7 linked regions of the Canis lupus familiaris genome follow. The protein of the gene in region 5 binds, or shares a complex with, the protein of the main gene of each other region. Links are inferred from orthologs where the notes say so. Each region holds a gene or a part of one and is shown on either strand. Other genes may lie near its edges.

Evidence for each region.
Region 1: SMARCA2 (region 5) and DPF3 share a complex: the UniProt entries of both Homo sapiens proteins name them as parts of the BAF complex. The link is inferred for Canis lupus familiaris from reciprocal best matches to the Homo sapiens genes SMARCA2 and DPF3.
Region 2: SMARCA2 (region 5) and SMARCC2 share a complex: the UniProt entries of both Homo sapiens proteins name them as parts of the BAF complex. The link is inferred for Canis lupus familiaris from reciprocal best matches to the Homo sapiens genes SMARCA2 and SMARCC2.
Region 3: SMARCA2 (region 5) and SMARCD1 share a complex: the UniProt entries of both Homo sapiens proteins name them as parts of the BAF complex. The link is inferred for Canis lupus familiaris from reciprocal best matches to the Homo sapiens genes SMARCA2 and SMARCD1.
Region 4: SMARCA2 (region 5) and DPF1 share a complex: the UniProt entries of both Homo sapiens proteins name them as parts of the neuron-specific chromatin remodeling complex. The link is inferred for Canis lupus familiaris from reciprocal best matches to the Homo sapiens genes SMARCA2 and DPF1.
Region 6: SMARCA2 (region 5) and PHF10 share a complex: the UniProt entries of both Homo sapiens proteins name them as parts of the neural progenitors-specific chromatin remodeling complex. The link is inferred for Canis lupus familiaris from reciprocal best matches to the Homo sapiens genes SMARCA2 and PHF10.
Region 7: SMARCA2 (region 5) and SMARCD3 share a complex: the UniProt entries of both Homo sapiens proteins name them as parts of the BAF complex. The link is inferred for Canis lupus familiaris from reciprocal best matches to the Homo sapiens genes SMARCA2 and SMARCD3.

What each region holds. Positions count from the first base shown.
Region 1 is NC_049229.1:46,575,316-46,579,407, reverse strand, and holds the start of DPF3 (zinc finger protein DPF3), read left to right. Parts: upstream 1-1,292; 5' UTR 1,293-1,325; coding exon 1,326-1,357; intron 1,358-4,092. UniProt on the Homo sapiens protein: Belongs to the neuron-specific chromatin remodeling complex (nBAF complex).
Region 2 is NC_049231.1:846,729-850,228, reverse strand, and holds part of SMARCC2 (SWI/SNF complex subunit SMARCC2), read left to right. Parts: intron 1-924; coding exon 925-1,056; intron 1,057-1,161; coding exon 1,162-1,277; intron 1,278-1,656; coding exon 1,657-1,781; intron 1,782-2,998; coding exon 2,999-3,058; intron 3,059-3,175; coding exon 3,176-3,213; intron 3,214-3,499; coding exon 3,500-3,500. UniProt on the Homo sapiens protein: Involved in transcriptional activation and repression of select genes by chromatin remodeling (alteration of DNA-nucleosome topology).
Region 3 is NC_049248.1:42,013,975-42,018,075, forward strand, and holds the start of SMARCD1 (SWI/SNF-related matrix-associated actin-dependent regulator of chromatin subfamily D member 1), read left to right. Parts: upstream 1-1,301; 5' UTR 1,302-1,316; coding exon 1,317-1,493; intron 1,494-1,596; exon of another isoform or gene 1,597-1,697; coding exon of another isoform or gene 1,698-1,721; intron 1,722-2,116; coding exon 2,117-2,304; intron 2,305-2,617; coding exon 2,618-2,660; intron 2,661-2,750; coding exon 2,751-2,873; intron 2,874-3,345; coding exon 3,346-3,468; intron 3,469-4,101. UniProt on the Homo sapiens protein: Involved in transcriptional activation and repression of select genes by chromatin remodeling (alteration of DNA-nucleosome topology).
Region 4 is NC_049222.1:115,598,750-115,602,823, forward strand, and holds the start of DPF1 (zinc finger protein neuro-d4), read left to right. Parts: upstream 1-1,274; 5' UTR 1,275-1,283; coding exon 1,284-1,393; intron 1,394-2,763; coding exon 2,764-2,924; intron 2,925-3,016; coding exon 3,017-3,124; intron 3,125-4,074. UniProt on the Homo sapiens protein: May have an important role in developing neurons by participating in regulation of cell survival, possibly as a neurospecific transcription factor. Belongs to the neuron-specific chromatin remodeling complex (nBAF complex).
Region 5 is NC_049222.1:91,456,483-91,459,982, forward strand, and holds part of SMARCA2 (probable global transcription activator SNF2L2), read left to right. Parts: intron 1-243; coding exon 244-310; intron 311-984; coding exon 985-1,095; intron 1,096-3,500. UniProt on the Homo sapiens protein: ATPase involved in transcriptional activation and repression of select genes by chromatin remodeling (alteration of DNA-nucleosome topology).
Region 6 is NC_049233.1:72,430,497-72,433,996, reverse strand, and holds part of PHF10 (PHD finger protein 10), read left to right. Parts: intron 1-793; coding exon 794-927; intron 928-1,024; coding exon 1,025-1,174; intron 1,175-2,085; coding exon 2,086-2,195; intron 2,196-3,456; coding exon 3,457-3,500. UniProt on the Homo sapiens protein: Involved in transcription activity regulation by chromatin remodeling. Belongs to the neural progenitors-specific chromatin remodeling complex (npBAF complex) and is required for the proliferation of neural progenitors.
Region 7 is NC_049237.1:16,013,155-16,017,226, forward strand, and holds the start of SMARCD3 (SWI/SNF-related matrix-associated actin-dependent regulator of chromatin subfamily D member 3), read right to left. Parts: upstream 2,801-4,072; 5' UTR 2,419-2,800; coding exon 2,341-2,418; intron 1-2,340. UniProt on the Homo sapiens protein: Involved in transcriptional activation and repression of select genes by chromatin remodeling (alteration of DNA-nucleosome topology).

The sequences.
Region 1 (4,092 bases), on a different chromosome or scaffold from region 5:
AAGAACTGGTGGCAATTTGGCATCTTCTCTCCCCCTTTCCACCCCTCCTCCGCTATTTTAGCTATTTGACCTGATTAAACAACTTTGGGATGTTAGCCAGATTTCTGTATGCTAACGAGGCCCCTATTCATGATTTAGTGCGATTTCATCCACCGGGAGATTCCCCGCTGCCCCGTGGAAGCCTGGCTTCACCGAAGTCTCCCAATTTCGTCGGGGGTTCGCCAGTGAGGAGTTCACGCTGACTTGGAGCAGACACAGACTCTGAACGCCTCGGGTCCTACCGGATTATTCAGTGGCAAATTTTTCCACCGTGTACCTAAGTAGTGAAAGGTGACGCCAGAATCGCGTGTGCTACTCCCCGAAAGAGACTCTGGCAACACCTTCTGTCTAGTTACTCTCTTTCCTAGTAGCAGAAAGCGTTTCCAAAAAGTTTCCTTAAACCTCCTCTGTCCCCAAGCCTAAAGGTCAGAGCGCCAGGTCCCACTTGGCTCCCCGGCCGGCCGGAATCTGACCATTTCAGAAGTTTCTGGTGTGTGTGTAGATTGGAAGAGGTCGGAGTGGGGAACCGCGCACAGCGACCACCGCGCATTACGTAACGAAAGCCCTGGCTGCCGGAGGGAGCGAGCCTGACATTGAGACATTCCAGGGGGAGGGGAGTTGCTGTCCTGGAGTCGCCGGGAACGGCGGCAGCAGTTCCAAGAAACCGAGAGAGAGAGAGAGAGAGAGAGAGAGAGAGAGAGAGAGAGAGAGAAGGTGGCCGAGATAAAGAAAACACTACAGGAATGAGAATGTTAAAAAGCCTTGGACCTAGAGCATTAGCAAACTGCTGGGCACGTGTAGTAATTTGTTAGACGAAACGGCAGCCTTCCAACTTTTGCACGGGAACGAGGGGATTTGCCCTTTGGGGGATTAAAAACGTAACAGCAAAGCCAAAAGCTAATGAATGGGGTTCAGTGGTTTGTTGGCAATACTTAAATATTTCTGTCCAGGAGCGCAAACTCTCTGCAATTATTTAGAAAGTAGGGACTCAAACCAAACTAGAATACTTTCCCCGTGCGTCTCCACTTTCCCAAATCCGAAAAGGAGCTGCTCTCGCGGTACTGCCCCTTTAAGACCTGCTTGCTCTCGGGCTCTACAAAAGGGAGTGACCTCTGGGCTTTGACAGCTCCCCTAATAACTACCACCGTGCAGGCCCCGCCCATCTGGCGACCAGCAGCGCCCATTGGCCAGCGGGCCGGTATCCCGTGCTCTGATTGGCTCGCCGCTTCCCCTGAGCGAACCTTTAGAACTCTGAGACAGACAATATTCTGTTACATTGTAGCAAAATGGCGACTGTCATTCACAACCCCCTGAAAGCGTAAGTAAGACTAAAAAATGTACATATTCCGCCTGGTTTCAATATGAAAAAAAAGGCGCCTTCCGCGTGCCAAGCGCTGCCAATGCACTGCGCTTGCAGGCGCCTGCAGCCGCGGCGGGGCTTCTCTTTTCTTTCAGCTCTTACTTCTTCATCTTCTTTTTTTTTTTACCCCCAACGCGCAGAAATGTCAAGAGATGCAATTAACAAGAAGAAAATTGTTACGTTTGTGTTCTGCTTAATTGGAAGACGCACGGAGAGGGGTTTTCGGCAGGGGAGCCAGGCGCTCGAGCGCTCTACGGGGGGGGGGGGGGGGGGGAGGCGGGCGGTCGTGGGCAGCTCGGGGACTGCACGGTCCCCCGAGTGCCCGGCGTCGCGGGATGGCGAGCGCGGCGCGGGGGGCGGCCGAGCTGGGGGCGAGCGCCGGGCAGGGGCCGCCTGGGTGCACTTGGCTGCGCCCCGCGCCTCCGGAGTCCGCAGCCCCTGCCCGGCTGCTGGGTCCGCCGGGGCGAGCGGACCGTGGCAGCTCCGGAGTTTGCAGGGCGCTTTACGCCTTCCGATCGCTCGCGGGGAGTTTGTGCAAACCTTCCGGAGTTGGGAGGACCGCAGGGGGAGCAGTGGGTCCCGGGAGCCCTGGGGCCCAGGTGATTGCCCGGGGGCTTTCCTGCCGGGGCAGCCCCCCGAGCGTGACCGCGCTCCGGGCGGTCGCCGGTGTGTCTGCGTGTGTTCGCGGGCGAACTGGGTGTAGTGTATTAACGACTCGGGTTAACTTGGGGTTGATTGGGAGGCAGGGAGGCTGCAGGTCTTATGAATGGTGTTCTTGCCTCCTCTGGGTGAAAAACCGAGGCGGGCGGAGAGGCAGCTTCTGCTCCCGGCCAGAGCGAGGGGCAGGTGCCTCTGGCCGCCGCCGGGAGACTTTGAGCGGACGCCCAGATCCCGGACGCAGGGGGGCGGGCTGGGCGAGGACATGCGGGGACCAGTCCCCGGGTCCGACTGCCAATTCCTGCCTGCCTGCCTTCCTGCTCCTTTTCGTCCTGGCTTCCTTCCTTCCTTCCTTCCAGTCGATGGAAATGTTAAGCCGCCAAGTCCGATCGCGATCGCGGAGCCGCTGGAGGCTTCGGAAAACTAGCGTCGCCCTACAAGGGGTGCTATTGGCAATGATATTGGCAGAGGAGAGCTCGCTCCCCCATCGCCGCGCGACGTGGGTCGGGACTCCCGGTCGCCGCGCGGCGTGGCTCGGGGTCCGCGCCTCTGGGACCAGGACTTCCCAGCCGGGGTGGGAGCCGCGGGCGAGGGGAGGGGGAGATGCAGGTGGGGGGCGTTTCGTGCAAAATTCTCCTGGCTGTGTGGCCGATGCCCGTGCGGGTTATTTCAACTCAGCGCACCGCGCTGGCACCCCAGGCTCCTCCTGGAGTTGAAAACCACGTTCGCACCGGGGGAGGGAGGGAGGCTGCGGGGGGTGTGGGGGTGTTTCCTAGCGCAAAGGAACGCGCGAGGGTAATCGGACGTGTTTGCACCAGCTTATCTCCCATCATTAATAGGGGAAAAGGTAGTAAGGTCCCCGGTTCGGAGTTTTTTTTTTTTTTTTTAATATACATGTATTAAAGCTGCGATTAAAGCTGCGATTAAGAGGAAGCTGGAAGCTGACGCCGATCACAGAACAGCCCCCGGCTTTAGTTCTCGCTCGCAAGCTCGGATACACTGCACTGGAACGCCACAACGTTTCAGCCAAGAAAGAAAATGTTTTACAGCAGAATAAATGGGCGTAACTTCGCCGCATCCTCGCTCCCCGGTCGCTCGCGCAGCCACACCGCTGATGCTGTGAGTTTCAGCCGAACCTCCAGCTGATTTGCAGTTTCCCCATTTCCAGCCGAAATCACATAGGCAGGCTGATGCCACCTGGTAAACTCAAGTTAGAGAAATCTATTTCACATGTGCGCCAGATTTGTTTCCTACTGGGAAAGCGGTACCAGCGTTACCTTGGAGCCCGCTCACGCGCCGGCAGGCGCAATATCTCTAAACGCTCCAGGGTTTGTTTCCCTGCCGGCTCCGGTTTTTTGTTTGTTTGTTTGTTTTTGAACTGCGGAAGGGTGCGTGTTTGGCGAGGGTGTCTGAGTGGGGTGGGGTTAGAGGTGGAGGAGGGAACAGAGAAGGGGGCTGGTTTAGTGGAATTAGTCCTGAATTATTAAACTTATACTTTGTAATAATTAGAGACAGTTGCAATGACATGTTTTGTAATTCTGTGTCGACACACACACACACACACACACACACACACACACACATACACACGCGCGCGCGCGCACGCGCTAGCATACACACAACATCCCTGCCTGCCTTTTCTAGACGGGAGTTGAGTGGTCATTTTTTAATTAGCTCCTCCTTTTTGCATCCCAAACCCTTTCCCTGGAGGAAAGGGGGTGTAAACAATACCCACCCCCTCTCCCGGACGAGCCGAACCTCCTGCGCTCCGGACGGCTTTTAAACTCCTAATGCAGGAGCACACACGTTGTTATTGGGAGACCCACACCATCTGCCTTTATTTTTTGAAAACAACTTATTTAGCAAGACATCTTCTACATTTCATTTGTTTTTAAAAGTTGCTGATCAGGAAACAATACACACGTAAATAAATTATGCATGGGATAAATTAGAACAAAGCGCAGAGACACATCCAGCTAAAGGGATGGATGGTGGTGTAGGGAGGAGGGGAGCCGCGAGAATGGTTTGGAGAGCTA
Region 2 (3,500 bases), on a different chromosome or scaffold from region 5:
TCAGTTGGTAGAGCATGCAACTGTTGATCGTGGGGTTGTAAATTTGAGCCCTGTGTTGTGTGTAGATGTTACTTAAAAATAAAATCTTTTTAGGGGTGCCTGAGTGGCTCAGTCAGTTAAGTGTCTGCCTTTGGCTCAGGTCATGATCTCTGTATCCTGGGACCCAGCCACCTGTGGGGCTCCCTGCTCAGTAGGGAGCCTGCTTCTCCCTCTCCTTCTCCTTCTGCCCCTACCCCCTGCTCATACTGGCTCTCTGCCCTTTCTAATAAATAAATAAAGTTTCTTCAAGAAGTTTAGAGTTTACATCAAAACTTTATAGTTGGGGGATCCTTGGGTGGCTCAGCGGTTTGGTGCCTGCCTTTGGCCCAGGGCACGATCCTGGAGTCCCGGGATCAAGTCCCACGTTGGGCTCCTGGTGTGGAGCCTGCTTTTCCCTCCTCCTGTGTCTCTGCCTCTCTCTGCTTCTCCCTCCTCCTGTGTCTCTGCCCCCCCCCCTCATAAATAAACAAATAAATAAATAAATCTTAAAAAAAAAACTTTATAGTTAAAAAATAATAATAAAATAAAATCTTAAAAAAAAAAAAAAAAAGATGTATACTGGGACCAGACCACTCCTTGGAGGTCAAGCACAGGCTCTTGTCTCCTTCAGCTCTTCTCTTAAGGGCCCCCAGACAGGGGCACCTGGGTGGCTCAGTTGATTGGATGTCTGCTTTCAGCTCAGTTCATGATCCCAGGGTGCTGGGATTGAGCCTGGCATCAGGCTCCCTGCTTAGCGGGGAGCCTGCTCCTCCCTCCCACTTGTGCTCTCTCTTACACTCGCAATTGCTCTCTCAGATAAATAAACAAGATCTTATAAAGGGGGGACCCACAGACAGCTGTGGCTTTCAGGCTTCTCTCCAGCACAGTCTGCCTTTTGTACTTCAGGTTCATGCAAAGTGGATTCTGGACACAGACACTTTCAATGAATGGATGAATGAGGAAGACTATGAAGTAAATGATGATAAAAGCCCTGTCTCCCGCCGAAAGAAGATTTCAGCCAAGACTCTGACGGATGAGGTGAAACTTCCTCTTCTTTCTTCCCTGATCCCTTAGCACAAGCATGGGGATAAGTCTTCAGTGGGGATTGTTGGCTGACATTCACTCCAATTCTCCAACCTGCAGGTGAACAGCCCAGATTCAGATCGACGGGACAAGAAGGGGGGCAACTATAAAAAGAGGAAGCGCTCCCCCTCTCCTTCACCAACCCCAGAAGCTAAGAAGAAAAATGCCAAGAAAGGGTATGCCAGCCGCTACCCTGCCCCACCTTCACCATTCTCTCCATGTTGAAGGAAGGAAGGATAGACTCCTTCCTGTGACTACCTGGCCCTGACTGGGGTCGGCCCTGCTCCTGTAGGTGTCCTGAGAGGGAGGGTGAGGTCTTCTTTAGCTGCCCACTTGTTAGTTCTAGTTGCAGCCACTAGTGACCTCAGAGTGACATCTTCAAGGGAAGACCTTTGCACTTCCCTGTCCTCTGTAGTGATGCATGTCTATGCATGCTTAGCTCCCCCTTGGGGATTCTCTCTTGCTTTACTCCCCTTGAACCTCAGCTTCCAGGGACTCCTTGCTTAAGGGTGACCAGGTTAGCTTTCATTACCTTTCCTCCCCTTTCCTCCCCAGTCCCTCAACACCTTACACCAAGTCAAAGCGTGGGCACAGAGAGGAGGAGCAAGAAGACCTGACAAAGGACATGGATGAGCCTTCACCAGTCCCCAATGTAGAGGAGGTGACGTTACCTAAGACAGGTACGGGCCACACCAAGCTTCGGGGACCTACCTTCCTAGAGGGCTGATTTCCCAGGCCGAGCTCCGGGTCTTGAGGATCTGGCCCTTCAATTTAGCTGTTTATTAAAATTATTCTCAACATGGGCAGTCCTCTGACTTGAGCCACATCTGAGTTGTGTACTGTGCTTGTACCTGACAGTAGTTGTTTCTGAACTGTTTTTGATCACTTACCCCCTTCAGTAAAGTATTTGATCACAGATTATTATTATTATTATTTTTAAAGGTTTTATTTACTTATTCATGAGAGACACAGAGAGAGAGAGGTAGAGACACAGGCAGAGGGAGAAGCAGGCTCCACAAAGGGAGCCCGATGTGGGACTCGATCCCAGGACCCCGGGATCATGACCAGAGCCGAAGGCAGATGCTCAACCACTGAGCCACCTGGGTGCCCCTTGAGCATGAGTTATATATGTGCTGCTGTACCGTTGCTTTAGGAACATCGTGAGACACATGCAAACATTATCTAAAAAATGGGAAAATGTAAAGGATAAACTGAAAAAAACAAATATAAAGAGAAGTTCTGTTATTCTCTACCTGTATTCCACTGGACCATCTCTTGCCGTCCTGTGTGAGAACCCCACTTTGGAGACCATTGCTTTGCAATGATAGAGAGTTGTATAGCTGCAAAGGTGGACTGCGATCTGTATTCCATAGACGAGCTCCGATGTCAAGGAGTGTATTTCAGGGGTTGCGGTGGGGGCTACTGAGAGAGAGGAGTGCTGGCCTCAACCCCCTTCATCAATCACGGCGGCTCTCTTCCATATTCGTGTTTTCTCCTGAGCTGTTGTGTACGGATTCGGTTAAGAGAAGCCCCCTTGCTTTCAAAAATGTTGGCGATCCAACCAGTCCTCTCCAGAGTGATTTGGTCAGACTCTGTCTCAATCCATTAAGAGTTCACAGACACACAGATGGAGATAAGAGGGGCCTGTTAGAGACAGGAATGCTTGATGAGTGTCCGTAGAGTGGAAGATGCTTCTGTATAGGAAGAGTTAAGTGACCGTTTGGCAGGGGAAGGAGGGAAAGTGGCAGTTGAGTTTCAAGCCCCAGAATGACTGTGCCTGGAGGGAGTTACCGAACCCTTTTTGTGATCAGAGATCTCTTAGAATTGTTAAAGGTGGAGAGTTAAAGAGTTGATTCGGGCAGACCCTGTCTGATAAAATGACTCTCTCTCCTGGCAGTCAACACTAAGAAGGATTCAGAGTCTGCCCCGGTCAAAGGAGGCACCATGACTGACCTGGGTAAGGAGAGGAGGCTCTGCGGCCCGCTTCCCCTAGCCTGCCACGGCTTTTCAGAGGGCAGGACTCTTGCTGCTGCTCTGGAGGCTCCACTCCTGATTTGCTCACTCTCTCTTTCAGATGAACAGGAGGATGAAAGCATGGAGACCACGGGCAAGGTGGAGCCAGTTTAGAGAGGCCCTCTCTACCTCTCTATGGGATTCGGATTTGCGCTTCTAAAGTTCCTTCTACCCAGAACTTTCTACTGCCTAGGGTTTTCCCACCTTAGTCTAGTTTTAGCTGTTGTTCAGAACTCAAAACTCTGACCCTTTCTAGGTCTTGGGGCCCTTAACAGTCCATTCCCATGGCATCATTAGTTCCCACTTTCCCGGGGTGTGGGAGAAGCAGAGGGTTGCCAGGGGCATAATGGGAATGCTGAGTGTCCAGCGGCCTCCATACTTTTAGG
Region 3 (4,101 bases), on a different chromosome or scaffold from region 5:
GTGGGAAAAATACAGGCGTAGAGTAGTTGAAAGCTCTGCTGTTCTGTCCCTTCCTTCCTATCTTAATGAGAAACAAGTGAGGTAGAGGGCCCGTCGTGCCGCCTCCCCCAGGCACTCCTCCTAGGCCAGAGGCCTACCCCTTCCCAGGCCTTCTCTACCCAGCTGTCTCTTGGTTTCCAACCCCAGAACAGGACTTTGGCAGGTCACCTGTACATTGGCCTGGTGCTGGAGAGTGAAGCTATGGGATTTTCGGGAACTCTTGGTTCCTAGAAATTCCTTGGAGATCAGACCTCTCCAAAGGGAAGCAAGGCCAAGGGGTGTGCACCGGATGGGGAACAGCAGGCAGGGCTATGGGTGACGCATGCCTCTGGTCTAATAAACTGGGTTTCAACCATCTCTTTGGTGTCGTTCTTCTCTTCGAGAGTATTTAGGTCTCCCACGAAGTGCCTCCAGCTGAGCTTAGCTTGGGGCCAAACAATCGTGCAGAAGTCAGGAGGCTCAAGCAAGGAGACCCTCCCTGGTCCTCCTGGGATGGGGCCCGACTGACCATCGCAGTAGGAAATGGTTTCCACTACTGGGCAGGGAAAGGGGGAGAGAGGTCAAAGGCAAGAGAAGTCCTAAAGAGAAGTCCTGGCACAAAGGATTCTTCGGGGGAGGGGGCAGGGTTAAAATCCAAACTAAAATCCGGAAGCAGGTTGGGTTTTTTAAGGTCAGGGAGAGAGTTGGGTTCAAATTCTGGTGTGAGGTAGCTACGGAGGCATTGTGTCTGCAGAATGAGCCCTGGGCCGTGAGCCAGAAGACCTGGGCTCTGAGCTCTGGCGTTCCTGCTAACTTGCTGGTTGGTCTTTGCCAACTCACTCACTAAGGTCGGCTTTCCGGTTTGTAAAATGGAATAAGCGGTGCATTCTCCTCTTCGGCTCCCCAGGCTTACGGCAGTAGGAAGGAAACGAAAAGACAAAGCGCTTTGGAAAGTTAGACCTCCTGAGCCTGCACGCGCAGGTTCCCCATCCCGACGCGGTCCTCAGAGCCCGGGGCCTCGGCGTCCTCCCGTCGGCCTGGGGGCGCCCGCTCACGCGGCCTCTCTATCCCGCAGTTCTTCTCGATGGCCTCCGCTCCCGGACCGCGAAGACGGGAGGGAGTGGTCAGCACGCCTTTTCTGCTGGCCACCCCCCCTCTAGCCCGCAGTCTCGCTGCCCCGAGCCTCCCGCGCCGGCCGGCCGGCCGGGCGGACAGGCGGGCGCGCGGGGGGCGCGCGGGGGGCGGGGGGAGTTCCGGTTCCGGTTCTTTGTGCAGCTGCAGCAGCGGCTCCGGGGAAGATGGCGGCCCGGGCGGGCTTCCAGTCTGTGGCTCCGAGCGGCGGCGCCGGAGCCTCCGGAGGGGCGGGCGCGGCCGCTGCCCTGGGTCCGGGCGGGACTCCGGGGCCTCCCGTGCGGATGGGCCCGGCGCCGGGTCAAGGGCTGTACCGCTCCCCGATGCCCGGAGCGGCCTATCCGGTGAGCGGGGCAGGAGGAGGGGCGCGCGGGCCGGGGGCGGGGCCGAGCGGGGGCCTGGGAGTGACAGGGGTGGCGGAGAAGTGGGAGGGCCTCCGGCGGGAGGGCTTCGGGCCCGGAGTCGGGGTGAGGGGAGGCGGTTAGCATCCCCACCTGCCCCCGGGAGCATTGTTCCCGCTGGGGAGTCGGGGTGCGGACACCGCGCGGATGAAGCGGGGCGAGCGGGGGCACGTGAGAACTGGAGGGGGCAGAGCGCCGGGCAGCTCCGGTGCCCGGGGGAGCGCGGGTGTAGCTAGCAAACGGAGGCCGGCTTCCGCGGGGAGGAGAGCTGGCGGTACCAGCCGAGCAGAAGTGGGACTCGGGGAGGACCCCGAGTGTCGGATACCAGAGAGGCTGGGGAGCGTTTGGGTGTCGTCGGGCTCTCGCTTAGCCTTGGGGCTGTAGCCCCTGGAGGACAGGAAGCTCCAGTTGTTCGGGTTTCAGAGACAGAGGGGCGCCCCCCCCCCACTGCGCCCCCCCCCCCCGCCGCCCCCAGCCTCGTTCATTCAGCGGACTCCGGCACCTCCCACTTGTCGGTGGGGTTAGTGGGGAAGCCATGACATCTCTGGGTCCTCTCCTCTCCGTAGAGACCAGGCATGCTGCCAGGCAGCCGAATGACACCTCAGGGACCTTCCATGGGACCCCCTGGCTATGGGGGGAACCCTTCAGTCCGACCTGGCCTGGCCCAGTCAGGGATGGACCAGTCCCGCAAGAGACCTGCACCTCAGCAGATACAGCAGGTCCAGCAGCAGGCGGTCCAAAATCGAAACCACAAGTAAGCTGACCCTGGGGCGAGGGAGTGAGGGAGGGAGGGAAGGAAGGAGGGGGGAAGCCAGCCCTTGAGGACACAGGTGATGGGAGAGCCTGAACCCAGAGGTGGTGATGCTGCGTCAGCAGATGGGTGCTCATTCTTCAGAATGCTTCAGCATGCATGGGTAGGGGGTGGGGGTGGGCGTGGGCAGAGTGCCTTGGATTTGAGAGGCGCTTTGCAGTCCCTTCATTTTCCTATAAATGGAGGTGCTGACCAGTCTGTCTTCATGTTCTGGCTAGTTCCATCCCAACCTGATAACAGTATTTATTCCAAACAGTGCAAAGAAAAAGAAGATGGCTGACAAAATTCTACCTCAAAGGGTGAGTCCAGGGTCTTCCTGAGGAGGTGCTGCGTTTGAAAATAGGAGCGGTCAGCTCTAGACCCCAGTGATACCTTTTTTTGTTCCTAAGATTCGTGAACTGGTACCAGAATCCCAGGCCTATATGGATCTCTTGGCTTTTGAAAGGAAGCTGGACCAGACTATCATGAGGAAACGGCTAGATATCCAGGAGGCCTTGAAACGTCCCATTAAGGTAATGCAGGAGAGTGCTAGGCAGAGAGCCAAAGGAGAGGACTCGGGAACCTTCAGTAGGCTTAGGATGAGAAATCAAAGGCACAGCACAGCTCTCCTTGGCATTTAAATTACGTCTCCCTTCCGCCTACGAACCTAGGAACTGAGAATTACATTAGAATCCAACAGCCAGGGGGGAGGGGCCCTTGCTGTCTCTTGCACCAGAAATCTGCCCTGTCCCTGTTGTGGCCATAACTGTTCTGGCACCTTGGGAACCCGGCATCTTGCATGACTCTTGTCAGTTTGGCATCCTAGTGTATGTACTTGCACTCGGGCCAGTATTCTTCTAGATGGAATCTCTGTCCACCCACCCCAGGGACTGGATAGATAGTAAGCCAGTCTGTTAGGAGTAATTTGCGGGTTTGGGGGAGATTCTTGTCTTCAGTATCAAACCACTGAAGCCCCATCATCAATCCTGTTTCTGCCTTCCTCAGCAAAAACGGAAGCTGCGAATTTTCATTTCTAACACTTTCAACCCGGCTAAGTCAGATGCCGAGGATGGGGAAGGGACGGTGGCTTCCTGGGAGCTTCGGGTAGAAGGACGGCTCCTGGAGGATGTGAGTTCAAAGCCCACTGTGGTTGCCGTCTAGGGCGGGAGCTGCTGGGAGCAAGCGGTGTTGTCTTGTTGGCAGGAATCCTGACTGGTGCTCACAGCTCCTGTTGAGAACAGCAGGGAGAGGATCACTGTGTTCCCTGCACTAAAAGACAATGGTTCTTTGTGTCTCGCTCCCACAGCCTGGCCCTCGCTGTGGTATCATATCGAGAACCTTATTGTTCCAGGACTTGATTTGTTGTTTACCTTCCTCCTGATGGTGCTGGCCATTGGACTTAGCATCTGCAGGTTATTCAGCTTTTGGGTTTTGTTTCTTTAAAATCAAGTGAGTTTGCACTTAGCACTGGAAGACCTACTTTTCTCTCTGAGTCCTGGAGGTCCTCGATTCCCACTGTAGTATCTCCACCTTCGCAACTTTCGTTGGAGACTTCTCACAGTGGCAGTGGGATAGTTTTCTGTGCTTCATGGGGAACATCAGCTGACAGGTGGCAGCCCCCAAAACTTCCTACCCCAGAAGTTCACCTTTCATTCCCTTACATTCTCTATTTTTAGCTTTTCATAAGCAAGCTAATTTGGATGCATTTTTGCAGGAGAACTGGGGCTCTGTGTCAGAGCTTCCTTCTCTATATAGGTCCAG
Region 4 (4,074 bases), about 24 Mb from region 5:
TATATTTTTATTTACTCATTCAACAAATACTTATTGAGCATCTATTATGGGCCAGGCATTATTCTTTCTGGTAGTGGTTGGCTAGCACCATTTTACACCTGACTTCATATCCGATCTCCTTGATGGAGTGGATTTACTGAACCTACTACCTGCCAGGTGCCTTTTATTTTATTCATCTATTTTTAAAGATTTTATTTATTTATGCATGAGAGACACACAGAGAGAGACAGAGGGGCCGAGGGAGAAGCAGGCTCCCTGCAAGGAGCTGGATGTGGGACTCAATCTTGGATCCCGGGATCACGCCCTGGGCCAAAGGCAGACGTTCAACTGCTTCGCCACGCTGGCATCTCCCCCCTGCCCACCCCGGGTACCTTTTAAAAACACTATATGGGGGGGCACCTGGGTGGCTCAATGGGTTAGGCCTCCGAATCAATCTCAATTCAGGTCTTGATTTCTCCGTGGTGAGTTTAAGCCCCGTGGTGGGCTCCCTGCTGGATGTGGAAAAACTAAAACTAAAAACACTCTATTTACTCATTTAATCCTTACAACAATCCAATGAGGTGTCATCCTCATCTTACAGGTGAGGAAACAGGCCCAGGAAAGTTAAGTCATTTGCCCAAGGCCACATGGCCACCGAGTTGCAGAGGCGGGATTCGAACCCGCCAGGTGCGGCTACAGCTCCTTACTGGCGACCGGCCTGCGGCAGGACGGGCTCGCCCGCGCGGGGTCACCGTGCCGGGGACAGCCCGGGGACCGGACAGGCCGGGCGCTGGGAGCCGGGAGGGCCTGGGGATGCGGGAGGGAGAGGTGTCGGTGAGGCGAGCGCAGGCGCGGGTGGGACGCCCGTGCGGGCCCCTCCAGGGTATCTCTAAGTCTCATGGCTTCGGAGTGTTCGTGTGAGTGTAAATGTATGTGAGTCTGTGAAGGCGTGGGAGGGAAGTGTGCGTGAGTCTGCGTGGGAGGCTGTGAGTATACGTGTGAATGTGTGTGTAAACTGCCGTAGGTGGGTGTGTGCGAGCCCAGGTGTGCCCGTGGGAGCGTGTGCCCGGGACGCTAGGGCGCGTGGGAGCGGGCGCGCGTGAGTGGCCGCGTGAGTGACCGCGCGCGCTCCCGGGGCCGCGCCCCTGCCCCCTGCCCCCTGCCCCCTGCCCCCTGCCCCCTGCCCCGCGGGGTCCCGCCCGGCCCCCGGCCCGGACTACCACTCCCAGCATGGCCCGGGCGGGCCCGCCCTGCCGTCCTGATTGGCTGTGGCCCCGGTGCTCCCGCCCCGCGGGAATGAATGGATGGGCGGCCTCAGCGCCCGCCCGAGCGCTGGGAGGACCGACCCGGCGGGGACCTGCTGGGGGCAGGACCCGGGGAGCAAGATGGCCACGGTCATCCCCGGCCCCCTGAGGTGCCGCGGGCCGGCGGGAGGCGGGAGAGGGCGCGCGGGCGGGTCTGCGCGGGCGCGCGCGTGTGTGTGTGCGTGTGTGGCGGCCGGGGGTGGGGCCGATGGGGTGTCTGGGGGGCTGTCACCGTGGGCCGTGCTGCGCGGGGGTGCGGATGTGTGTGATCGTGGGTCCCTGGCAAGAACGGGGTCCGATGCGCTGCTCCTGGAGGAGCGGAGGGTGTGGGGGACTCGGAGTCCTGTTCGGGTCCTCTTCGGGGGAAGGGGGGTCACGTCCCGCCCGGCGACCCCCGGGGTTGGGGAGAGACTGAAACGGTCTGGGGGTGCGGGAGGCTTGGGAAACTTGAGTGAAGTCCACACTACCTTTGTCTTGGCATGTGGAGTGCGTGTCACTTGTTTGTTTGTTTTTGATATGTGTGTGGATATGTGTTTAATTTATTTTAGTCTACACTAGGTATCTTTGGATATTTGGGTCTTTGAGTGTGCGTACATGTCCTTTGGAACTGTGCATCGCTTGTGTTCTGTGTCTGGATTTGTAGGCATGCATGTATTTGTACAGTTTTGTGTGAATATGGGTGGATTTGTCTGTTTCTGTGTTGTATCTTTGTGTGGATATGCGGTATTTTAGATGTTGGTTTCTATGTTGTGTATCTTTGTGATTGTGTGTGTGTCCTGTGTGAATCTGTGTGATTTCTTTGTATAGTTTGTCTGGATAGTGTGTGTGTGAGTGTGTGTGTGTAATTTGTTTGTGTTGTGTCTTTGGGTATATAAGTGCATGTGTGGGTAGTTTAACATTCTTCTCATAATATTTGTGTATCACTGTGTGTCTTTGGATGCGTGTATGTGTGTGTAGTGCTGTGTGTGTGATCTCTGCACATTGTGTGTCTTTGTGCGGGTGCTTTGTTTATGTTGTGTGTCTTTGGATATGTGAGGTGTATTCGTGCATGGATATATGTGGGATGTGTCTGTTTCTACACTATGGGACGGCGATGTTTGTATTTTCTCAGTAGATATTTGTGTGTGCACATATGTGAGGTTTGTCTGTTTCTCCTTTGTGAGTTTTGGGATATGTCTCTCTTTGTGTGTGAATCCTGTGTGGTTTGGTTGTGTTGAGTATTTTGACGCGTGCCTGTAGGGATGGGTCCTGGTGTATTTTTGTCCGTCTCTGTATGGTGTGTATCTATCTGCCTGTTGGCTCCAGGCCTGCTTGGGCCCTGGGCTGGGGGCGCCTGAGTCCCGGAGGCACAGGGGGGAGAGGGGAGGTTGGGAGAGTAGGCCCACCCACTCCCGAGGGGCGCGCCGAGGGGGGCTGCTGGGCCACCTGGCGCTCGCGCCCTTGCTGACAGCCACTCGCCCGCTCGCTCGCCCCCTCGCAGCCTAGGCGAGGACTTCTACCGCGAGGCCATTGAGCACTGCCGCAGCTACAACGCGCGCCTGTGCGCCGAGCGCAGCCTGCGCCTGCCCTTCCTCGACTCGCAGACCGGCGTGGCCCAGAACAACTGCTACATCTGGATGGAAAAGACCCACCGCGGCCCTGGTACCGGCCCGGAGGGTGGGGGCGGGGCGGGGCGGCGGCTTTGCGGGCCGCCTTCCCCTTGTTCTCACGGCCCCTCGCGCTTCTCACTCCAGGTTTGGCCCCCGGACAGATCTACACGTACCCGGCGCGCTGTTGGAGAAAGAAACGGAGACTCAACATCCTGGAGGACCCCAGACTGCGGCCCTGCGAGTACAAGATCGGTGGGTGGAGCTTCATCCTGGGCCTGGGGGGGACCCCATCAGTGCCCCCAGCACCCGCTCATGCGTGTGTGGTGAGGCCCTTGCAGGTCTGAGCATTTGCCTTTATTTCCCTCCCAGCGCTTGTCTGCAGGTGTGCGTCTGGTGTAGTCCAGACGTTCTCCAGTTCCCCCCGAGTGACTGGGCTTTGGACTTGGGCTGTATCTTCTCCTCCGGCCCAGGTGTATTCGTGGGCAGAGTGGTATCTGTTTCGTGTGTGCCTGGGTGTACCTTCCCTGGCGAGCTGGGATGGATCAGGGTCCCGCTGGCTTTCTTCCTATGGGTGCCTCCTATGTGTGTCTGGATGTGTCCGGGTGTCTTTCCATCCGTAGGGGAGCATATCAAAGTGTCTGTGTCTCTTTCTAGGTGTTTTCAAGAGTACTAGAGGGGCTATTTAGTCTTGTGTGTGTCTGGTCTAGCAGGGTATCCTGAGTGTGTCTGGGTGTATCAGGGCGTCTGGGTGTCTCTTCCTTTGAGTGTCCAGATGCTTTGGGATGTCTGGGAGAAGCCCTTCGTGGCTGGAGTATTACGTATATTTCTGCCCACGTGTGCTCGTCTGGCCAGAGTGTTGGGCTTTATGACCTTTTGACTGTGACCAGTAGTGTCACAGTCGCTGGCTCTTTCTCTTCTCCTGTCCGGGTGTATCCAAGGGTCTGTGTGGGTCCAGGTGTATTGAAGTGTCCATCTGGACACTATGTGTCCATCTGTGTCTTTCTGGGTGTGTCTGTTTGCCTCAGAGGGACTGTGTCCCTCCCCCTTGTGTATCCATCTGAGTGATTCCCTCTAGGTATGTCTGTCTCGCTCTCGTGTGTGTCCAGGTGTATGGCAGGGTCTGGCTGCGTCTTCCTCATGTGGATCTAGGTTGAGCTGATGGTTTAATGTCCCTTTCTGATTGTCTCCGGGTGTATCCAAGG
Region 5 (3,500 bases):
ATTTTATTTTTTTCTTATGAGATTTCTTATGAACTCACACACACAACTTGTCATGCTTTGGGGGCAGCTTATTCCCCACTTATCTCTTATTTCCACACCTTTCAAAGAAGTATGTAGTTGAAATACTTAATATTCTCTTGCCCCTTTCCAGGTGAGGCCTGAGCATAAATAAGAACATCTTTTTAACCACTGATTTTTATGCCAATGTCTTTTTCTCTGTATGTTTTCTTTTTTGTTCTATAGGACTCTATCTAACTGGACATATGAATTTGACAAATGGGCTCCTTCTGTGGTGAAGATTTCTTACAAGGTTTGGAATGCTTTATTTATATATAAATGTGGAAAAGCAAAAAATAGACCCAATTTTTTTTCTTCCTCCCATATGCACATCTGTGAACTGTATTTGGTTGTAAAGTTTTGTCATGTACATCATGTACCAAACACTGTGAGTTAATCATCCCAAGAAGATTACTGTAATAAACCATAATTACTTTCAGATAGTGAAATGCAGAAGAAAATTGTTAATTATCATATTGCGAGGTTTCTGATGAGAGTAATACAAATGACAAATATCGCACATCCCTCGCGCCGTGCCATGCCCGCTGTTCCTGCAAAGTTCGGCAATTACCCGGGCACCCGGGCTGCCTGCTGCACGCTCCCGTAGAAACGGAGCCTTTCAGCCGAGCAGCGGGTTCTCTGCTACCTCGAGGTTGCTGTAATTTCCTTCTCCGGCTGTCCCCTCACCCTCAGTTTTCAGTGGGAAAGCCTGCCTGTAAAGGGCCTGAAAAGCATCCAGATGTGTGCGATTTTGCCAAGCACTTTGTCGTGGATAATGGATCTGTGTATGATAATGCGTAGATGTGCAATCCTCAGTCGTGTGTCTGGGCTCCATTAAGCCATGAATAGTGAAGCAAAATGTACACATTACTTCCTTTGGGTAATGTATATGCCTACATATATATATATACACTTTTTTGCATTCAGGGCACCCCTGCAATGCGTCGCTCCCTTGTACCCCAGCTGCGGAGTGGGAAATTCAACGTCCTCTTGACTACTTATGAGTACATTATCAAAGACAAGCACATTCTTGCAAAGGTAGGTTTAAAAAAAAAATCTTTTACCTCTAATTATGGGACCATTGCACTGGAGTATAAAGTATTCCCCAAATTATACTCACTGGTATAATTTGATCATTAGATGGCCTCTCTCTCTCTCTCTCTCTATTTTCTATCTCTTGCAGAGTCAGATATATATATATATTTTTTTTTGGTTTTTCTTTGTGTGTGTGTGTGTGTGGTTTTTTTGTTTTTGTTTTTATTATTTTTTTTTTTTTGCATATGTCATTGATTCTGGTTCTCTAACCTAGCCTCTCACAGTTACTGAGTTTATGTCTCTTAAAAAAATTCACCTGGGCTCCTTCTGCAGCTCTTTTTCTCTCCAACGGCCCTGAACGTGCTTGTGGAAGAAATAATTGTTTTTGTAGCCCTGGGTTATTGTCAGCAGCATGACTTCATTCCTCTTGTGCCTTTGTCTCTCCAACGATGAGTAGGCACCTCTCCATATGGTCTTCTCCATGTGAACATTTGTCCAGGCTGCAGCTTTGGTGCTATTCCTGTCTTAGGTTTTTTCCCTGGTAAAATAATGGGCCATTGTTTGGATTACTCCAGGCTGTTTCTGTGACTATTCACTTGAAGCTGAGAAAAAGTTGTTTTCTACCTGCAACATACATGTCTCCTAATTTGTACGTTCTTAAGTTGTCCTTTGGCCAGCAAATAGAAAATTTTTTTTTTCATGTTTATCACCTTGCCCCCTAATGCATTCATTCAGAATACCTTCTTTGGTGGGGCCAGACACAGATACTTCATTTTTCTTCCTCCAGTAATTTCTTTTGCCCCGTGGTGTTCTGGAAGTGCCATAATCTGAAACGAAGTGATGGCCAGAACTGAACAGAATAGCTGTTTCAGGGATCTGTTCTCTCTCTGCATTAAACCTTTGCTCAGGGAACTGAGAGTTCCCTTCATGGCATCACAGGAGATAACATATAGGAAGTGTGCTCCCAGGAGAGGTTTAATAATTGAGATGGCACTGGCAACAATGCTGTGTTCCTGCTCCTCATACTCAGAGATGAATCTGGCAGTGTTGAAAATGACATGTTTTTCGATATTACTACGGGAATGTGTTTGTACATTCGAGATCCTTTAAAAAAATCCTATCACATCTTCTGCATATGTATTTCAGAACTCATCGGAGATGCCTGGTAGTGAGATGAATTGCTTTTATGTGTTGCTAGAGAAATGAAGCTATAGAAAGGGGTAGTGATATTTTGTCCAAGCGGAAGACCCAATTGGCAAAAGAGTAAATTAGCAGAATCGAAGTCCTCTCTGATTCCTTCTTTATTAGATCGTAAGCTGAATTAGGAAAGTAGATGTAGACTGTTTGCTTAAATACATTTTTATCTGCTGGCCCCTTCTATGCTATTGGTAAGCTTGGGATAATTGTCCATACAACTTCATGCTTATGAACACTTTTCTTAGAAATGGTGGAGGAAGAGTAAAACAAAACAAAACCCAACAACAACGCTATGGTAGTTTCTTTTGCCCAAACATCTCAGCCCAACTGAAGATTTTATATTTCTTTTCCCCCGATTTCACTGTCACTTGTAGTGAGAAAGGCAGGGACCATCTAGAATACTCTGCTAGTCTCTCTCTCTTTCTCTCTGGGAGCTTTGGAGCAGGATCCGGGGACATCTGAGCACCAGATGCTTTTCTTGGCCATTGCCACTGTTTTGTAGGGAATGAATAGGCTTAGTGGGACATTCCTCATTGTTCTCACTTAAAGAATCTGAGACCAGTGACCTTGAAGAGGGCTGAAGGGTGAGTTATGAGAGAGGAAGGGGCCTGCATGTAGACTTAGGAGGGAAGATTATGTCATATGGCCATTCTTTATTTTTCAAGTGGTAGTCATGCTAGGAAATGAGATTGTGTTTAATTCCAAAGTTCTGGCAAAAACAGAGGAATGATATTTTAGCGTGGTCTTCACTGCCAGTGAGTATATGCTTTCATTTTAGACATCTTAAAACAGTGATCCTAGACCTGGCAGGTAAGGACCTGGCAGGTAAGGCATATGTCTGAACTGAGAGACTCCAGGTTGCCAGGCCTTATTTTTTTTTAAGAGAAGCTGAATGTTCAGATTGTTATGTGAAGTATTCCAACTTTTAAATGTTAGCAACTCATTCAAATTAAGAAGAAAAAAAAGAACACTGAGCTGAGCCAAGCCCTAACCGTATAACAATAGAAGCAAAGGCATGAAGCCAGAGCATCTCAGCTATGAGTACCGACTGTCGCCATCTTGGAAGATCAGTCATTAACTTCTGCTTCAAGTGGAGAAGCAGAAAATCTGCTCTTCTATTCTTGCTATGAGCAGAGGCAGCACGAGCTCTACATCCGGTAGAGCCATCATGGTATGCCATCAATAGAAGGAGTATTGGTTGCGGAGACACG
Region 6 (3,500 bases), on a different chromosome or scaffold from region 5:
AGCCATTGTTTTTAATAAAGGGATATGTGTTATAGTACATTGAATCTTAAAAAAAATATTTGGTTGAAAGATTGATTTATTTTCCTTTTTTTTTTTAACTTTTTTTTTTAATTTATTTTTTATTGGTGTTCAATTTACTAACATACAGAATAACCCCCAGTGCCCGTCACCCATTCACCCCCACCCCCCGCCCTTCTCCCCTTCTACCACCCCTAGTTCGTTTCCCAGAGTTAGCAGTCTTTACGTTCTGTCTCCCTTTCTGATATTTCCCACACATTTCTTCTCCCTTCCCTTATATTCCCTTTCACTATTATTTATATTCCCCAAATGAATGAGAACATATAATGTTTGTCCTTCTCCGACTGACTTACTTACTTCACTCAGCTGATTTATTTTCCTTTGCAAATTTTATGAGCTTTTTAAAAAGTTGTTTGACTTATATTATGAATATTGTTTTTTATTGTTTTCTAATATATTTTCCTTTGACTACTAGAAAACTTTAAATGTAGAGTGGTTTATGGTTTTTTTTTTTAAGATTTTATTTATTTATTCATGAGAGACACAGAGAGAGAGGCAGAGACACAGGCAGAGGGAGAAGCAGGCTCCATGCAGGGAACCTGATGCGGGACTCGATCCTGGGACCATGGGGTCATGCCCTGAGTCGAAGACAGGTGCTAAACCCAGGGATCTCTAAATGTAGAGTAATTTGGAGGAAAAGCAAATTTTGATAAGTAGTTTTGTTCACTTAGCCTTAAAAGAGCTTTTTATTATTTTTTTCTTTTGTCTGAAATAGGTTTAACAGCATTGCGTAGTGATGAAGTGATTGATTTGATGATAAAAGAATATCCGGCCAAACATGCTGAATATTCTGTTATTTTACAAGAAAAAGAACGTCAGCGAATTACAGATCATTATAAAGAGTATTCTGTAAGTATTGAGGTGACTAGCATCTTTTATTTGGTTTGGGGAGAATGACATTTTGTAAAGTTACATGTGACTTCCAACTGTAATATTTTTATTTCAGCAAATGCAACAACAGAATACTCAGAAAGTTGAAGCCAGCAAAGTGCCTGAGTATATTAAGAAAGCTGCCAAAAAAGCAGCTGAATTTAACAGCAACTTAAACCGGGAACGTATGGAAGAAAGAAGAGCTTATTTTGACTTACAGACACACGTAGGATTGCTTAACTTTATTAGTTCCCGAACCTCACTTAATTGCTTGTCATGGTAGAGTGCTCAGTATCTCCTTTATTTTATTTAGCCATTGTGGTGTGTTTTTTTTGTTTTGTTTTTTGTATTTGTTTTTTGTACCAGCGATGTGTCCTTTCCTGCTCCAGAATTTAGGATATAATTTTTAATGATGTGCTAGTAACGCTCTGTTCACTTCTGTGTGTGTGTATATATGTGAGAGTGGTGTCTTTTGCTCTGTGGTTGACATTTCTCCTGAATGAGACTAATAGGTGTATATCATAGTGGCTGCTTGTCCAAGGGTTGTTTTAAGAAATTTTTTCAGGGATCCCTGGGTGGCGCAGCGGTTTGGCGCCTGCCTTTGGCCCAGGGCGCGATCCTGGAGACCCGGGATCGAATCCCACGTCGGGCTCCCGGTGCATGGAGCCTGCTTCTCCCTCTGCCTGTGTCTCTGCCTCTCTCTCTCTCTCTCTCTTTCTCTCTCTCTCTCTGTGTGTGTGACTATCATAAATAAATAAATAAAAAATATTAAAAAAAATTTTTTTCATATTAATTCACTTAATTCTCACAGTTGCCATGTGAGGTTGAAACTAGTATTGTTCTCATTTCATAGATGAGGACGTTGTATGTGTTGCTCAGCTCCCGCTGCTCTTGCCATTGGTGAACAGAAGCAGGCTACCTTTCCCTCAGAAGTGCTGGCTGTGGTGAAGAGCCAGATAAACTTCACCTGTGTGGCTAGAAACCTCCCCACTGTCCCCTTGGGTTTTAGTTCCTAATGTCTCCTGTGTTTTTAGCCTTTTGTGGGAAGGAGCATGGTGGAGAACAGGAGGATTGTGTTCCTAGGACCTGGATTCCCAGCATAGAATCACTTACGTATTTCTCTTCACGTCAACCCAGGTCATCCAGGTGCCTCAGGGGAAGTACAAAGTGTTACCAACTGAGAGAACCAAGGTCAGTTCTTACCCAGTGGCCCTCATCCCCGGACAGTTCCAGGAATACTACAAAAGGTATCCATTGGTTTTATTACCATCGTTATTGGGTACTGCTGGGGGACTGCAGAGTCTTGTGTACTTGCCTCCAAAGAGTTGAGCTCTGTGTGTACCACCTTGAGATGTTGTGTGAGATCTGGGCCAGTATCCTGTTTTCTGTGGTTCATCAGTGAAGAACACCCTTCAGCCACAACGTAAACATCTGCCGACAAAGCTGGAGCTGCCCATCTCCCTGCCCGCACCTGTTCGTGTGTCCGTGGCAGATGCAGGTGGACCAGTGCTTCGGTCCTTACATTGTGCTTCATGGCCCAGCAGCACCCGTGTCATTTGAAAGCTGATTGGGAGTGCAGACTCTCGGGCACAACCCCAGACCTGCCAACCGGGAAGCACTGGCTCAGTCTGCAGAGGATGTCGAGGAGGAAGCAGAATGGCTGCAGGGCGGGCTGGGCCACCTGGTTGTGCCGGCCACGTCACTGCCCTGGCCTGGCTGCTGCTTCCACTCTGTCCGGGATGGCTGCTTCTCTCTCATTCCCAACCTGGGTGTAATTGAAAATAAGGCTAACAGGGTCCTTTTGTTTGAAAACTCTCACCTTTAAGCTTTATGTTCTTGAGGATAGAGACTGGTCTTTAGAGAACAGTGTTTAAAATAGACTATAGGATCATACTATTTGAAAGTCCAATTTAAATCATGGGTTGCAGATCTTAATTTCGCTTTGGGGTCAGCAAATTATTAAAAGTGATGATTACATTTGTTAGAGTACATGCATCACAAGTTTTTAAAAAAAATTTCTTAAATAATGTCATGTACCACCCACTGCTGTGCATCATGTGTGTCGACTGATGTCATCATCACATCCACCTGTGAGGTGGACGCATCGTCCTGCAGTCCACGGGGACCCACAAGCAGTGATATGGGGTGAGGGGAGGGTGGGAGTGATCAGGAGGCATGGGTTTTGTGCACAGTCTTGAATTGCCACAGTTCTACCTTAGTCTGCTGACTTTTTTTTTCTATTTTGGGTTGAAGATAAAGGAGGGAGACTTCCTCTTTTGATAATCAAATGCATATGATATACTTTTAGCCTGGTGTAAAAAACGTTTAGGCTTCTCATTTATTTTCCTTACTTGATACAAAATGAAAACTTATTTGTTACATTTGTAGTCATTTTCCAAAAGTATTTGGGGTTAATTGAGAAGGTTAAGGCTACCTTTAAAGCTCACAAATTAGATCATTCGTATTAATTGTAAAAAGACAAGTGACAATCGTCTCTCTGATCCTCAGATACTCACCAGATGAGCTGCGGTATCTGCCATTAAACACCGCGC
Region 7 (4,072 bases), on a different chromosome or scaffold from region 5:
TCCTTCTCTCTGGGCCCCTGCTTTCCACCCTTCAGTCTCAACCCACACCCCCCTCAGCTGATTCCAGGTCACCACACCCAGGGGCACCCCCCCCCCCCATAATTTACTCCCAAGGTGAAGGCTGGAGGCCACAGGAGCCAGTGAGGTCACACCCCACCAGGAGTCCCTGACAGGATGGGAGGCAGCTGGGCTGGAGGTGGGCTGCCCAGAGGGCTTGCAGAGCTCAAAGGCTGCGAGTGAGTGAGCGAGTGAGTGGCATTTCCTCTTCCATCCATCTCTCCCTTCCTGTCCGCCTGCATTGCCAGAGATGGTTCCATCCTACAGAACTCTTCCACTTCCCACCCCGCCCCAGTGAGGTAGGAAGCCAGGGCTCTGAGGGGGACATGGAGAGCAAGAGGAGGCAGGTGTATTCCCTTGCCACCTCAGATGGGATGGAGATGAAATGCAAATTCACTAAGTGTTTCACAGACTTTGAAAACCCCACTTGTCCAGATTCCAGAAGAGGAATCCGGGAAGGCCCAATGGGCTGAAAAGTGGAGGGTGGGTGTGATGGGGACAAAGAGAGCAGGAAGATTCGGGAACAAGGGATGCAGCCCCTGTGCCCTGCCACCTTTTAAACACTACCTGCTTTGCCCTCAGGCACAAGGAGGAGCCCTGAGCCTGAGCCCGGTGAATTCCTTCTAAATGCCAACTCTCCCTCCTGTCCCTCTGGCCCTGCACTTTGTCTAACCCTAACTCCCAGCCAGCCAGCTGTCTCTGTCTATCTCTCCCACAGTGAAAACTGCCCATCCGTGTGTCTGCCTCCCCCACCGCACCTGACCCTATCACTCATATCTCCAGAGTGGTGGCCCAGAATGGAGCCTAGGCCCAGGCCCACCAGCACAGATGGGGTACTGGGAGTGGAGTGGTGGGACTCACAGCCACCCAAGAACTGAAGCTGTAAGTTGGCAAAAAAAAAAAAAAAAAAAAAAAAAAAAAAAAACAGAAAAAACCCCACCAACAACAAAAAAACAAAACCCAAACACCACCAAAAAACCCCCACACATATAGCCCCCTCTCTCTCCTAGATGGGCCTTTTTAAAGGGACTTCACCAGCAGCATGGTTAGGACCGGCAACTTGGCTGACCGACATGGTCCTCCCTGGGAAGTTGCCTCAGAGATCTCTGGGACAGGAGAACAGGCTGCCCCAGGGAAAGCCCCTTTACCCAATCAGCTGCTCTCCCATTCCTCAAGGCCAGTGATAACTTGCTGATCTGCTGAAGAGACCCCGAGAGAGAAGCTTCCAGAGCCCCCAGAGAGCTGTGCCAACCAAGGGGACTACCCCAAAGAAGGGCCAAGATTCTAGGGACTTTGGTTTCCCTCATTGAGAACGTGCCTTCTTTGGGGTCACAACCAAATTTGGCCATAGTCAACTTGACTGCCTCCTCTGCACCCAGCTCCAACCCCAGTGGCCATTCCAAGCCCAACAATCTCTGCCTCTCCCATTCCGCTGCCTTCCACATCTCTACCAGCCTGGCTCCTGCTGCCTCAGCCTGAGGTCCCATCCCCTCAGGTCACCCTGGGCTCCCTTGGGCTCCCTGTGTGCCTTCCAAGTCCGCTCCTGGCAGGAAGGTGCCGCCCTGCCCCTTCGGTCTCTAGGCCTTACATCCCTGACTCCAGCCCTTCCTTCACACCTTTGAGGATTTAAAGACATCGGCTTCTGGGGGCTGAGTCTGCCAAGGGGATCTTCAGACCCCTTCACTTGGGGTCTGTCCCTGGAGAGGGTCTTTCTCTGACCCGGATGGCAGAAGCCATCAGCAAAGCCCCAGAGCCCTCCTGCCAGGATGCAGAGGTTGTTGGGGCAGAGAGCTTCCCGCTCACAGTGCCTCCAGGGTCACCTGCTCCTTCCTCTTGCTCAGAGAGACACAATCAGAGAGACACTGTCCCAATGGATGAGCAGACAACCCAGCCCACCCGCTGCCGTGTCCCCTGCCCCCACCCCCAGGGCAGGGGAACACCTGGGCCCACGAGGAAAAGAATAGAAGACAACACGTCTAGTACAGAGGGGAACCCCCCCACACTTGGGGCGGCAGTCCCCAAGTCCCACCCCCAGCCCCTGACAAGAACCCATGCAAAGCTTCCGTCCCCGCCCGGGGCACCCATCCCCGGCCCGCCGCCTGCCGCCTGACGACGTGTTCGAGTGCCAGGGCGCCGGCACAGTGCTGGGGCTGGGCCGCGGGCCGCGGCGCCCCTGCCAGAGGGGTGGGAGAGCGGGAGCCCCCTCCCGGCCCCTCCCGATCATCCCTCCATTCAGCCCGAGCCAGCTCGCTCACCCTCCCCCGCTAACTTTCCCCCACTCACCACCCCATGGACCAGAAACTCAAAAAGTTTGCTTTTCGTGGCTTTGCGCGCCCCTCCGGCAACTTCGTCCGCGGCCATCGGGGTGGGCTCAGCGGCTCCTCTCACTCTCTCTCTCTCTTCCTCTTTCTTTCCCTTTTCTGCCTTTTTTTTTCCTCCAACTCTCCCCTCTGAGTCCTGCTGGGCTCTCTCACACTTCTACTCGAGCGGAGTGGGGAGGGGGCCCCTTCAGGGCTGCCCTGACGGCCCACGGCCCACGCCGCCGCCGCCCGCCCGCCGCCGCCGCCGCCGCCGCCGCGGCTGCCGCATTCCTGTACTGATAAGACAGAAATAGTCCGGCGGCCCGGGGTCTGCCTGTTGACTCGGCGGGGCCCGAAACGCCTGCCTTTGCAGCCCTCGCTGTCCAAACAGCGCAGATAAGCGGCGAGGCACGCCGGCGAGCCCGGCTCCGGGGCGCTGGGCAGCGGCACTGCAGCCCGAGGCCGCCCGAGGGCCGCGGGGAGGCGGCGCGGGGAGGGGACGCGAGGGGAGGCGGCGGGGGGCTCGTCGGCCACCCGGGCTCTCGCCACAAATAGTTTCTCGGTTAGGGAATTCGCCGGCAGGGCCAGGCAGGGAACAGGCAGTTCCAACTGTCCCCCAAGTGGGCTCCTGCTGCATTTCTGAGGCCCTTTCCCCAGAGACCTGGCAGGCCAAGTAGGGAAACATTCTCTGGAAGGAAGGAATCCGGGGGGGGGGGGGGGGGGGGTTGGGGGGGTTGGGGGGAGGCCTTCCTCCTGCACCAGGCCGACAGCGGTGGGTGTGCCCGGGGAGGCGCTGTCCCCTCGCGTCCACAGATGTGTGCGCCCTTGTCTCGCCCGCCGTGTGTGTCTGCACCCTGGTGTGGGCATGGCTCGGTGGCTGTGGGTGTGGATGTTTATGTGCGTGCACAGACAAATGCCTTCTCTGTGTGCCTCCCTCCACGAGAGCCTCGGGTGCGTGCGCGCGCTTGCGGGTGCGTGTGTGGCAGGACACGGCCTGTGTCTTCCAGCTCCGTGTGAGTCTATTTCTGGGTATGTGAGTCTTTGTTTGTCTCTATGTGAGAAAGTGAGGGCAAGAGGGGAAGTATTTCGGAAAGGGGAGGTGGATCGGACTCATGAGAACAGGAAGAGCAGCGAATGTGAGGGAAGGCGAGGAGCTGGGGTGGGTGCTTGCGTGGATGGATGGAGAGAATGGGGCATGAGGTGGGGGGTGGGGGGACCCAGAGGTGATGGGGCTGCTGGGTATAGGGGAGGGCGGGCCGCAAGACCCCCAGAGAAAGCAGGGGTAAGTGTGGGATTGGCTGAGGGAGCCCCAGAAGAGGCAGTGTTCAGAGAGCTGGCAGTCCCTGGGGTGAAGGAGGGACAAATCCTGAGATCCCCAGCCTGGGAACCATAGCACCACCCAGGCCCCCAATGGCCACACCCCTCTCTCCTCCTTCTGGAGGAAGAGCCCCAAGGCTTTGGGACCACAGTGGGTCAAGTTTGTGTGCTTCCTGGGGCTGCCCTGTCAGAATCCAGGTGAGGTGGGGCAATGCCTGGGGGAATTTGTTGGAAAAGTTATTTGAAGTTATACCCTAAAGACCCAGAATTACACTGAGGGGTGGGGGGGAGGTGTCCTGAACCTCAAACCCTTCAGAATGCCCTCAGAGGTCAGACAAAACCCAGGGAATGTTCTGCCTACAGTCCTTTTGCCTGCAGCCTGGTTTCCTTGGGCTCTA